Linked DNA regions of Cricetulus griseus. The protein of the gene in region 2 interacts with the protein of the main gene of each other region in a pairwise test. Links are inferred from orthologs where the notes say so. Each region holds a gene or a part of one and is shown on either strand. Other genes may lie near its edges.

Region 1 (5,871 bases), on a different chromosome or scaffold from region 2:
TTCACACTAGGATGGAGAATGCAATGGTTAAAAACACAAGATACCTACCTTCATCCTAAAACCAACCAAACACAGGGCACAAGTTCCTCCTCCCCAAAACACTGACCCAACTAGGGATGATGGGTGACTAATAGTCCCCATGCCCCCACAGGAGGCTGAGACAGGAGGATCGCCTCAAGTTTGGGGCTAGGTTGGGCTACATGACAGTTCAAAGATAGAGTAAGAACCTGTTTCAAAAAGTTGAAGGAAGTAATAGTGTGTGGTGTTGGACCTGAAGAAATGGCCCAGCAGTTAAGAGGCTGGGCTGCCCTTTCAGATGATCCAAGTTCAGTACCCAGCACCATTTGGCAACAGACAACTGCCTATGATTCCAGCTCCAGAGAATTCCCACCTTTTTTTCTGGTCTCCACAAGCACCCCCATATGGTGAACACTCAACTGACCTGCATACACACAGACATCAATAAAAATAAATCTTAAAAAAAAATCAGAAGGGTATATGGTGAGATGGCCCAGAGGGTAAAGGTACTTACTGCCAAGCCTGACGACCTACGTTCTATGTCTGGGGCCCGCATGGTGAAAGGAGAGTATCAAATCCTGAAGGTTGTCCTCTGATATCCAGACATACACCATGATGCAACTAACAAGCAAAATAATCACACTAACCTAATACTAAAATAGTAGGATTGCTTAGGATTTGGAGGACAGCTTGGACAGGAGAGAGAGTTAGCAAATGAAATCTCTGGCTGTGAAAGTCTGATAACCTAAATTCGATCCCTGGAGCTCACATAAAGGTAAATAAAAAAACCAACACAGGAAAAGTTGCCCTCTGGCCTCCGTAAGGTTGGAAGGCACTTGCACCTGCCTCAACCAATAGTATAAACTTTAAAAATCAATAACAAACCCCGAAAGTCAGTGTGCGATGTCTTAGCAGTTAAAGGCACTTGCTGCATTAGCCTGCCAACCCGAGTTTAATCCAGGACCTCACCCATATAATTGGAGAGATAGATGCCCCAGAATTGACCTCTGACTTCCAAACCAGCAAGGTGATACATTCTGACTCCTCCACACTGAGCACACTAAGAATCTTAACTCACTGGGTGGTGGTCGAGCACTCCTTTAAACCTTTAATCCCAGCAGAGGCAGAGGGGCAGAGGGGTAGAGGGGTAGAGGGGCAGAGAGGCAAGGCCAGCCTGGTCTACAGAGCGGGTTCCATGACAGGCTTCAAAGCTACACAGAGAAATCCTGCCTCAAAAAACAAAACAAAAACAACAATAAAGAGAGAGAGAGAGAGAGAGAGAGAGAGAGAGAGAGAGAGAGAGATCCTAACGCTCTCCCTCCCCAGTACAAAGTGGTGCACAGTTTGGTAAAACTTGTGCTGAGTAACTGGACTTAATGTTCAATATACACATGAATACGTATTTAACTTTTGTAGGATTTGTTTTCTATCATTTGGCCTCTCTTTTTATTCTTGGAGACAGTTTCTCCTCTGAAAGTTAGTTTTCTCCTGTTATTTTTTTTTTTTTGAGTCAGCCTGGTGTGTTGTTTTTATGAACTTTTCCTTCATCGCTATCGTCCGCTTATAACCGGAGACTACTTTGTGAATTTCTCCATTGTTTAGACAGCGGCTGGCAACCATGCAGCCTGGACCCGCTCCCTGCAGAGATCACCAGCGCGCGTCTCCACGCCCGCCTAGGAGGCTCTGTGGTGTTGGTAATCTTAAACTCAGCCTGTATCTTGACATCTCACGAAGAAGCCTCGCAAATTATATATACATCGAAAAAATCTAACCCCTCCACTCCGGGAAGTGCTGACAGTCTGAAACTCAAAACCCTGACGCTGGGGGCTTGGAGCAACTTGGTACAAATCCCTCAAGACGGAGCCTCGGAGACGCCCTTAGGCGCTCTTTCTTTTTACGTAAGACTCGACGCTAGTTTTCCGCTCGCGCGCGGTTATTGAACCTTTGGGGCTCAAGTTTCCGGGTGCGGAAACGCGCGTGCACCACCCGGCGTCCTCCCACAGCCCACAAGTCGTGAGGCTCTCCATGGACCACCCTCCACCTTGCTCCCCTCTTCGCCCGCCCCCTCCCTTCCCTCCCCCCTCCCCCTCCTCCCCCTCCGCCGCTTGGCTCCCCCGAGGTGTGCGCATGCGCCGTCGCTGTCCTTTCCTGCATTCAGAGGCCGGCCCACATTCCCCGGCCCCGCCCCTCGCCTGGCTGGCCAATCCTGAGCTCGGACTTGGGCTCGTCAGAATGGCGCCGTGGCGGCCCGGTGCCCGGATGTCCGCTGCCTGAGGCTCCGCCCCGCCACGGTCTTGTATCCTTCCGGCTTCGTCGTGGAAGGAGGACTGCGCCTCGTCTTCCTGAAGGTGGGGTTCGGGGGAAGGCCGGCCCGCGGTCACGCCGGCTGTGGGAAGGGAAAGTGGGCTTCCCGGGCTACTGTTTCCGGGTGCTCGGGGCGTGGGTCGAGCGGGGAACGGGCCAGGGGCCAGGAGGGCTCCCGGAAGCGCGGCGGGCGCTCGACGGGCGGGAGTTGAGGACCAGGCCGGCCCGCGCGGCTGAGTCGCTCCGCGGAGGCCCCACCGCGAGCGCGCTTCTGGGGGTTTCCATGGTGACAGTAAACAAGCCTCAACTGCCTCAGCTACAACTGCCAAGTCCCCGGGGTTCCACCCTCCTCTAGGTGCTCTGAGGGCCGGCGAGGTTCCGGATGTGAGAGGGAGCGTGGAGACAAGGAGCCCGAGGTGAGGGTCGCCAACCGGGTGGGCTGGCGGCCGGGCCCTTGGGGCGTCGGGCCGTGGGGCTCGGCCATAGGAGAGGACCGGTCCGAGGGGGGAGCCGCACACCCGTGGCGGTGCGAGGCTGGCCGTCGGGGCTCGGGACGGCGGAGGCGAGGCGTGGGGTCGGGGTCCAGAGCCGAAGTTGAGAGTATGTCTGGCGGTCCAAGTTGGGAGCACTTCGGACCGGGCCGGCCGCGTGGCTGAGGTTTGCGGCCTGGCGGAGGGGGTCGGGGGGAAGGGGACGGACGCGGGATCCGAAGTCTGGAGTCACTCTGGTAGGCTGAGGTCCGGCCGCGGGGACCGAGGTGTGGGGCTCGCCCCCCCCCCCCCCGCATCCGAGGCCCACGCCCTGGAGAGCGGCTTCCGCCGAGGGCCATGCCCGCCGGCGCTGCTCGCACGCGGCTCGGCCGACGCGGGTTGTTTGGGGGGGGGCAGGGCGGAGCGTTTACCCCCCGCGGCGGAACACGCTCTGCCCTCCGCGGGTAGGCCCGGGCGGGCGCTGGTTGCAGTTTTGAAAAAGGAAAGCGGCCGCTCACGTGGTTGGAGGCGGCCAGAGTTTCACAAGACTGGGCGGAGGGACGACGACTCCGCCCTCCTCCCACTCCTGCCCCGAGCGAGCCGACCGCCTCTTCCTCCTCGTGGCGACCCGGGAGTCTCTCATTCCCCAGTCTGTGTGGATCCGGGCCCTTCGGAGGTAGCGTGCTGGCGTTTGCGGGTGGTGCTGGCGGTGGTGGAGGAGGAGGAGGGATCTTGACCTAGGGAGGTCGGTCGGGTGTTTGCTGCTGTTCCGTGAACTTTCTTTGGATGTGTTTGTGGATCTTTACGGTTCCGGTGAAACTTGGTGTGGGTCTTTCCGGCCTTCCTTCCCTCCCTGGCGCGCGCGCGCTCTCGGGAGCGTTCCCGACAGGGCCGGACGCTGGCCCCAGCCGCCCTGCGCGTACCCGCGAGGCAGCCCCACGTGCTCCATAACTTTGAGCGCCCGACGCGACTTTTCCTGCCCCGGAGTCCCGGGGCACAAACGAATGGGCCTCTCCTACCTGCCACAAGTGCTGGAGACCTGTGGCCTGTGACTGGGGCTCCAGAGTGGTTGGGCGAGCGCGCAGCGTGGGAGGCCGCCATGCGGCTGTGCGGGATTAGGCTCCAGTGTGTCTTTGACTGCCGGAACTTCGAAGAACCGAGAGGGCTTCTTTATAGCTTTTCTTTTTGTTTGCGGATTTGTGTGTGAGTGGGGGAGGGGGTTAGATGTAAGACGACACCTTGAGAGATGGCTCTTCCAGGAGTGTGGGTCTCGGGGATCGAACTGAGGTCATGTGCTTGGCAGCTCGAGTTCCTATCAAGTGTGGGTTTTGTTTTATTTTGCTGTTTTTTCCAGACGGCTCCTGTGTAGTCCTGGCTATCCTGGAGCTCACTTGTAGACCAGGCTGACCTCGAACTCACAGAGATGTTTTGCCTGGAGTGTTGGGATTAAAGAAGTGCGTCACCATGCCGGTCGATACCGGAGAGTTTTGAAATAATTAAAAATCATTTAATTGATCAAATCATAAGATGTCTTGTAATAGTTACTATTTTAGAGAGAAGTTTCCTTTGTGCTGCCGAGTAGAGGTCAGGGACATATGGGGCCAGGCCTTCCATATTGTGTTCAGAGATTTTTGAGCTCAGGTCCCTCCCGGCAATAAAAAACTTCTTTTCTATTTTTTTTTGTTTTTGTTTTTCAAGACAGGGTTTCTCTGTGGCTTTTGGAAGCTGTCCTGGAACTAACTCTTGTAGACCAGGCTGCTGATCTTGAACTCACAGAGATCCACCTGCCTCCCGAGTGGTGGGATTAAAGGCGTGCGCCACCAACACCCGGCTCCCGCAATAAGTCTTTACACAGTTAACGATCTCCAAGTACTTTTTAAGAGTTAATGCTTATGAATTTTTAGTAAAAATAGAAATATTTCAGGCTTTTTGGGTAGACAAAAATAGGTCAGTGAAGTAGTAGTTTTGGTGCTAATTTTTGACAATATTTTCGTTTTAAAGTGGAAGGTTTATATTTCCAGAGAAAGTTGAGAGATTGGTAATGAGGGATACTTAGTTTATTGTGTTGTATACATAGTTTTTTGTTTGTTTGGGTTTTTTTTTTTTTTGGTATTTCGAAACAGGGTTTCTCTGTGTAGCTTTTGCGGCTATCCTGGCTCTCAATCTGGAGACCAGACTGGCCTCTGCTTCCCATGTACCACCATCTCCATAGAAGTAGAAAGTTTTTATTTTTTTGGTGGTATGTCTTTTGGGTGGTGGGAGTAGGCTGGGCCTCCAAAGCACTATGTAGTCACTGAATATGATCTTGAATTCCTGATCACCCAGCTTCACTTCTAGATTGCTTAGATGACAGGACCACCACACCCCCTTAATAGGTACTGGGCATGGTGCGCAAGCACTCCATACCCTCTGGATCACATACCCTGTCCCATTGTGTCTGTTTTTTGTTGTTAACTTTGAGATAGAGTCTTTTACTATATGTGTATGCATGTTTCTGTGTGGGCCAAGATCAAGGCAATGCTGGGTTACTAGTGAGTTGAAGGAAAAGCCTGGGCATCTTGACTCTAAAATAAACAATTAAATAGAAAAATGTTTAACTTTGTTTTCTCTGTTTATGAGGTAGGATCTCATTAAGTTTGCTCACTATAAACGAGGCTGACCCCAAACAGAAATCTGCCTGCTTCTGCCTCTAGTGCTGTGGATTACTGGGATTAAAGGTATTAGAGGAGGTGCACACCTAGAATCCAGGCTTATGGGAGGCAGAGGCAGATGGATGATCTCTGAGAGGACAATTTGGTCTACACAGAGAAACACTCTTGGAAAACCAAAAATAACAACAAAAAAACCCCAAACAAATAGCTTAAAAGAAAATACTAGGTAAGTAGAAGTCTCTGCCCATGTGGCTAAAGCTCTGAGAATCTGGAGGTAGAAGAGTTCAGTGGGTTTACCCACATTAGTGTGGCTAGGTCCGGGCACAGCATGAAATGTTTTACATGTTCTTTCTGATTGGATATTTGTGAAAACTGAAGATAATCTTGTTCTTAATCCATGGTACAAAGAGAAAATGGAGACTCAAAGA
Region 2 (5,176 bases):
TATTATAATTATTGTGAAATATTTTCTAGTGATAAACTCATGCTATTATGGCTATTTTATTTCTATAAAGCGCTACTACCATCCAAATTTTTTTAGCATGTGAGTATGGGCCATTAAGGAAAACTTATGGGAAGAAAACTACTTGAGAAGTAAAATGCTAGGCTTATAATAAAAAATTATGCATTTTTCCCTCTATGTATGTATGGGTACCCTGTGTGTGCTTAATGTCCATAGAGGCAAGAATTAGGCATGAGATCTTCTAGAACTAGTAACAGACAGTGGTGAGTTTCCATGTGGGTACTGAAAACTAGATCAATGTCCTTGCAAGATCATCAAGTATTCATAACTTTTATGCCATCTCTCCAAGCTCTCAATAAGTTTTAAATTATTATATAACTCAGGCCCATTATCTTCCACTTATACTTAGAGGCTCTAGCAGTAAACATAATAAAATGAAAAGAATTAGTTTCACAAATAAATCAATAAAACTTTTTGATAAATGAAATTCCAGATGTGTTTTCCTTCATCTGTGTGTGTATGTATGTAAATACATACACATATTCTTAACTTGATTTTGTTTGAATTTTTCTTTGCATACATAAATGAGGTTAGGAGGATATATAATGTTTGCCTAGTATGATTTCATCCATAGTACTGCAAAGAAAAAAACACTAACAAATGAAACCTGATTTTTATAATGTTTCTGGGTAAGTTCAATTTAATGGATTTCAACTCCTCATGAGGATTAGAATATCCTTGACATACAGCATCAATCATCCCAGAAATAATTATGAAAAATTTACTTTTTCAGAAAGTGACTAAGAATTTTATAACTACACTTAGCATTGTAACTTCATATACAAATGAATCAACTCATTGCTAATTACTAAATGTTAATAAAAATTAATTTTCTCTTACCAGCTGACTGATTGGTTTCTCTACTTTATTCTCAGTTTCTTCCTTGGTTTGCTCCTCCACATCAGGATCTCCACTTAAATATTAAAAAAAAGGGGGGGCAGTATTAAGAATGTCTCACAAAGATTATAAATTGTAGCAGTAAAGAATCAAAGAATAGAGTCATCTAGACTTTCAAAAGTATCATAAATGTCTATCAAAGACTAAAGTAGGTATGGGTACCATATCTCTTTGGAGGCTGAAGTTAAAAAAAAGCTATGGTAGAGAAACCAGCAAAGTCATATAACCAACTCCTTACATTTACCAGATGCACAACAGACAAACATATGGGAGAAAAACCTTAGCAACAGAGCTGTGGAGATGGCTCAATAGGTAATATGCTTGTGCTGCAAGATTAAGAACCAAAGTTTGGATTCCTAGTACTCAAGTTAAAAGTCAGGCATCACAGCACATTCCTATAACACCAATGCTGCTGTGATGGGGGATGGGTAGAGTTCCCTGGCCAGCCAGAAGAGTAGAAAGAGGAATTGAAGGTTCAATAAGAGATGTTTCCTCAAAACGTAAGGTCAGTGGTAGAGGAAGACATTTGACAATGATCTCTGTCAAAGATCTTCTACACACTTCTGCAAGGCTGAATGTGCACCCACACAGACCAGACACACACTGATACACCACCTACAAGCTTACAGCATTATAGCAAGGTGAAAAAATATCTTTGAAAAGGATGATCTTCTTTTTATGTGTTAGTATGTATGAAAATAAAAAGGTTAGGAAGATGTGTGTGTATACATATGTGTGTATTTTTTCTAACTTCCACAGTAAAATTAAGTACATAACCTTGATTAGTCCTCATCTTCTTCTGTACACAAACAAAACCCCTTATCAAGATTCACAGGGATGACTCTCCACTAAGAAACCAGGCAGTGGTGAAGAGGATGCCATTGATGCCCTTCCCTTATAATGAGATTGATGCCTACCTTTGTTACCATTCCTAGACCCTTCATCCAGTTGCTGTTTGAAGCAGAAACAGGCACCCACAGCTAAGCACTGAACCATACTACTGGAATCTAGTTGTGGAGAGGGAGGAGGGATGAGCAAAGGAGCCAAGATAGGGCTGGAGAAACCCACAGAAACAGTGGACCTGACCTACTGATTGCATGGAGACCCTAGTCATAAAGCTGGGGAAACAGCATTGGACCAAACCAAGCCCTCTGAATGTGGGTGACAGCTAGGAGGCCAAGACAGTCAGTCTATGGGACCTCTAACAGTGGAGCCAGTCTTTATCCCCAGAGCACAAATGGACTTTGGGAGCCCATTCCCCATGGAGGGATACTATAGCAGCCCAGATACAGAAAGGAGGGCCTAGGCCCTCCCCCAAATGATATGACAGACTTTGAAGGTCCCTGGTGGAGGACCTCACTATGAGTTGGGGGATGTGTTGGGGGATGAGGGGGATGGATATATAAATGAGTAGTAATTAAAGAATTTAAATAAAAAAGAATGCGTGATATATTAATAGTTGAAAAAAACTACTGCAGGTAATTCCTTACCTCACAAAAAATTCTTCTGTTAGAGAATCCATGGCACAAAATGTTTCTTCATAAGACCTATTCCAATGCTTGCAAACTAACTTGTATTATGGCCATTTGAACCTGTAAGAAAAAAATAGTATTTCTAATAGGAAGATAGAAAATTTTTCTTTCTCCCCTGTATAGACCAGTATGTGGTTACATTTTAAATTTCTTAATATTCCTATAAAATAATATAGTTTCAACATCCAAATATACTCACCACCTAGAATTTACATTTCCCTGGACATGGGTATATATTATCAGTCTATAATCATATTAAAATAGTCTCTCTTTTTTTGTAGCACTGAATGCTATAAAACCAGCTTTTAAGTTATTTTGGTTTTCAGCATTACACAACAGTTGCATTTTGTGTTCTCTCTTCCTGGGAGCTGTGCTTAGAACCTTGTGCAAGCTAGGCAAGCACTAAATCTACCATGCAAGCCCACCCCTACCCTTATTTGGCATTTCATTGGTTTCTATTTCTAGTAGTTGAGAATTTTTTACAGCACGCTTTGATCATATTCATGCTCCCAACTATCCCCAGATCACTCTTATTTCTCTACACATCCAACATTGAGTGTTTTTTTTTTTTTTTTTAATCTCATTAAGACCAGTTCGTACTGCTCAAATACTCATGGATGTAATACAAGATGGAACTAAACTGCCCTGGCTAGCTTGAACAGTATAAGTAGTACTTAAATTATGACGCTCCTGTGATTGAAGGCCTGTACTGCCACACATTTGATTAGAGTTTTCTTAAACATGTTCTTATGGCACACAACTAGATTTCCCATTTTCTTCAATTATAAATTGTTCTGCAAACTCCATTGGCCTATAACCCTTTTATTATATTAACGGTATTTCTTTACAATAAGATTATATTAGAATTGGTAGACCAAAAGATAACACTATTGAGTTCACTGATGCATATTGTCAAATGGCTTCCTATAGGGGAATTATCAGTTCCTGTTCATTTATAATACTAACAGCAGTGAACATTTTTTCTTTTCAGAATAAAAATGCTACATAGCCACTTTCCTCTGCAAGCCATATAACTTTACAGCTCCATAAAATAAGATGCGAGATATAATAAGCTCTTGCATAGTCCCCAGCTCAAATATCAAAGAACTTCTCCTCCCCACCCCCCACAAAAACAAGACAGGGTCTCACTGTGTGTTCCTAAAACTTACCACATAGACCAGGTTGGCATTGAACTCAGATTCTCCTGCCTCTGACTCCAGAGTGCTGAGATTAAAGGCATATGCCACCACCTAGCTAAGATTGGTATAACTTTTAAAAGCCTTTTAGCATATGTAATTTCCATATCAAGAAAATACATGCCATAAGATTCATCTATTAAGAAATCAGATGGTATTTAAAAAAACATTGCTTTATGATGTTAGAGAGTACTGAAGGACCAGAACCCTTGTCTGGCATGTGTATCTACATATTAGTGAACTTAAAATGGGAGGTGGTAATCTACCCTGGTACAAGAGGCATAAGTTCTATAGAGAGCACTGCAAAGCAGCCATGGCCTATGAAACCTCGACACTCCGAATATTCTATACTGACTGTGACTGCTAAGTAACACAGAGATTAGAAAGGCAAGAATCATTCAACAATCTAACACTACTCAAAGGACAAATGCAAAGACACATAAGCATGAGGGGAGACATTCTGCAAATTTCCTCATCAAAAACAGAGCTTTCTAACACCTCTCATTTCTTGCCAGTCCTCAACAAAACACTTCTGTGTATCAGCTTTAGTAGTAAGTATTTACAATTAAGTTCTTTGTGGTAAATTTTTTATCTTATGGTTTTACTAAGTAAGCAAAAATCATAATCAGTCACATTAAATGTATATTACTGACAAAAGACACAAGCAACAGCTAGTAATGAAAAAGAGAGAGGATGAGTAATTTTCATACTGATTAGATCTGCATCATATCTTAAAATAAAAATACAGCTTTGGGCCGGGCCTTTAATCCCAGCACTTGGGAGGCAGAGGCAGGCGGGTCTCTGTAAGTCTGAGACCAGCCTGGTCTACAGAGCAAGTTCCAGGACAACCTCCAAAGCAATACAGAGAAACCTTGTCTCGAAAACAAACAAACAAAATACAGCTTTGGGAATTTTGTGATTCTGTGAATTTATGGTTTCTGTAAACCAAAAAGGAACAGCCAATAAAACATTATTCCATAACTGTAACACAGACACACATTTGTCTTTCCTGGACATCCCAGATTTATTAAAATTCAGACACAGAGACCTTGTTCTCAGTAAGGTCTCCTTTAATTAGTAATTGTGAAGATCATGGGAAAGATTTGCATAAAGAGGAAAATCTTCTGGCTACAAGGTAGAAGGCAGAAGTCCTCTTTAAGCTGTTAGGTATTAAGGTGAAAAAAAAGTGAAAAAATTAATAAACCAAGACATTTATATACTGAATTAATATTTAAGAAAGGCTAGTTGCTTTTCTGCCTGTTTAAAATACAACCTGAGACAAATATGTATAAGAAAATATCCAGGAGAACAATTATCAATGCTATTACTCTCTAGTAGCTGTGTGTGTGTATGTGTGCACACGAGCATGCACCTGCATGTGTCTAGCAGGAGCAATCACATTTTACAGCCTCAGCTGGGAAGGCCTGAGTGCCTAGCAACCAAAAGGAGGCAGCCAGACTGAAATGTTACCAG

The links. The genes of interacting proteins can lie anywhere in the genome.
Region 1: the proteins of Dzip3 (region 2) and Hnrnpf interact in binary tests that used the Homo sapiens proteins (3 or more experiments, as listed by UniProt). The two-hybrid records come from large-scale screens. The link is inferred for Cricetulus griseus from reciprocal best matches to the Homo sapiens genes DZIP3 and HNRNPF.

The regions. Positions count from the first base shown.
Region 1 is NC_048601.1:27,020,640-27,026,510, reverse strand, and holds the start of Hnrnpf (heterogeneous nuclear ribonucleoprotein F), read left to right. Parts: upstream 1-2,217; 5' UTR 2,218-2,366; intron 2,367-2,599; exon of another isoform or gene 2,600-2,738; intron 2,739-3,335; exon of another isoform or gene 3,336-3,468; intron 3,469-5,871.
Region 2 is NC_048597.1:42,083,517-42,088,692, reverse strand, and holds part of Dzip3 (E3 ubiquitin-protein ligase DZIP3), read right to left. Parts: intron 2,568-5,176; 5' UTR 2,498-2,567; coding exon 2,466-2,497; intron 992-2,465; coding exon 919-991; intron 1-918. UniProt on the Homo sapiens protein: E3 Ubiquitin ligase proteins mediate ubiquitination and subsequent proteasomal degradation of target proteins.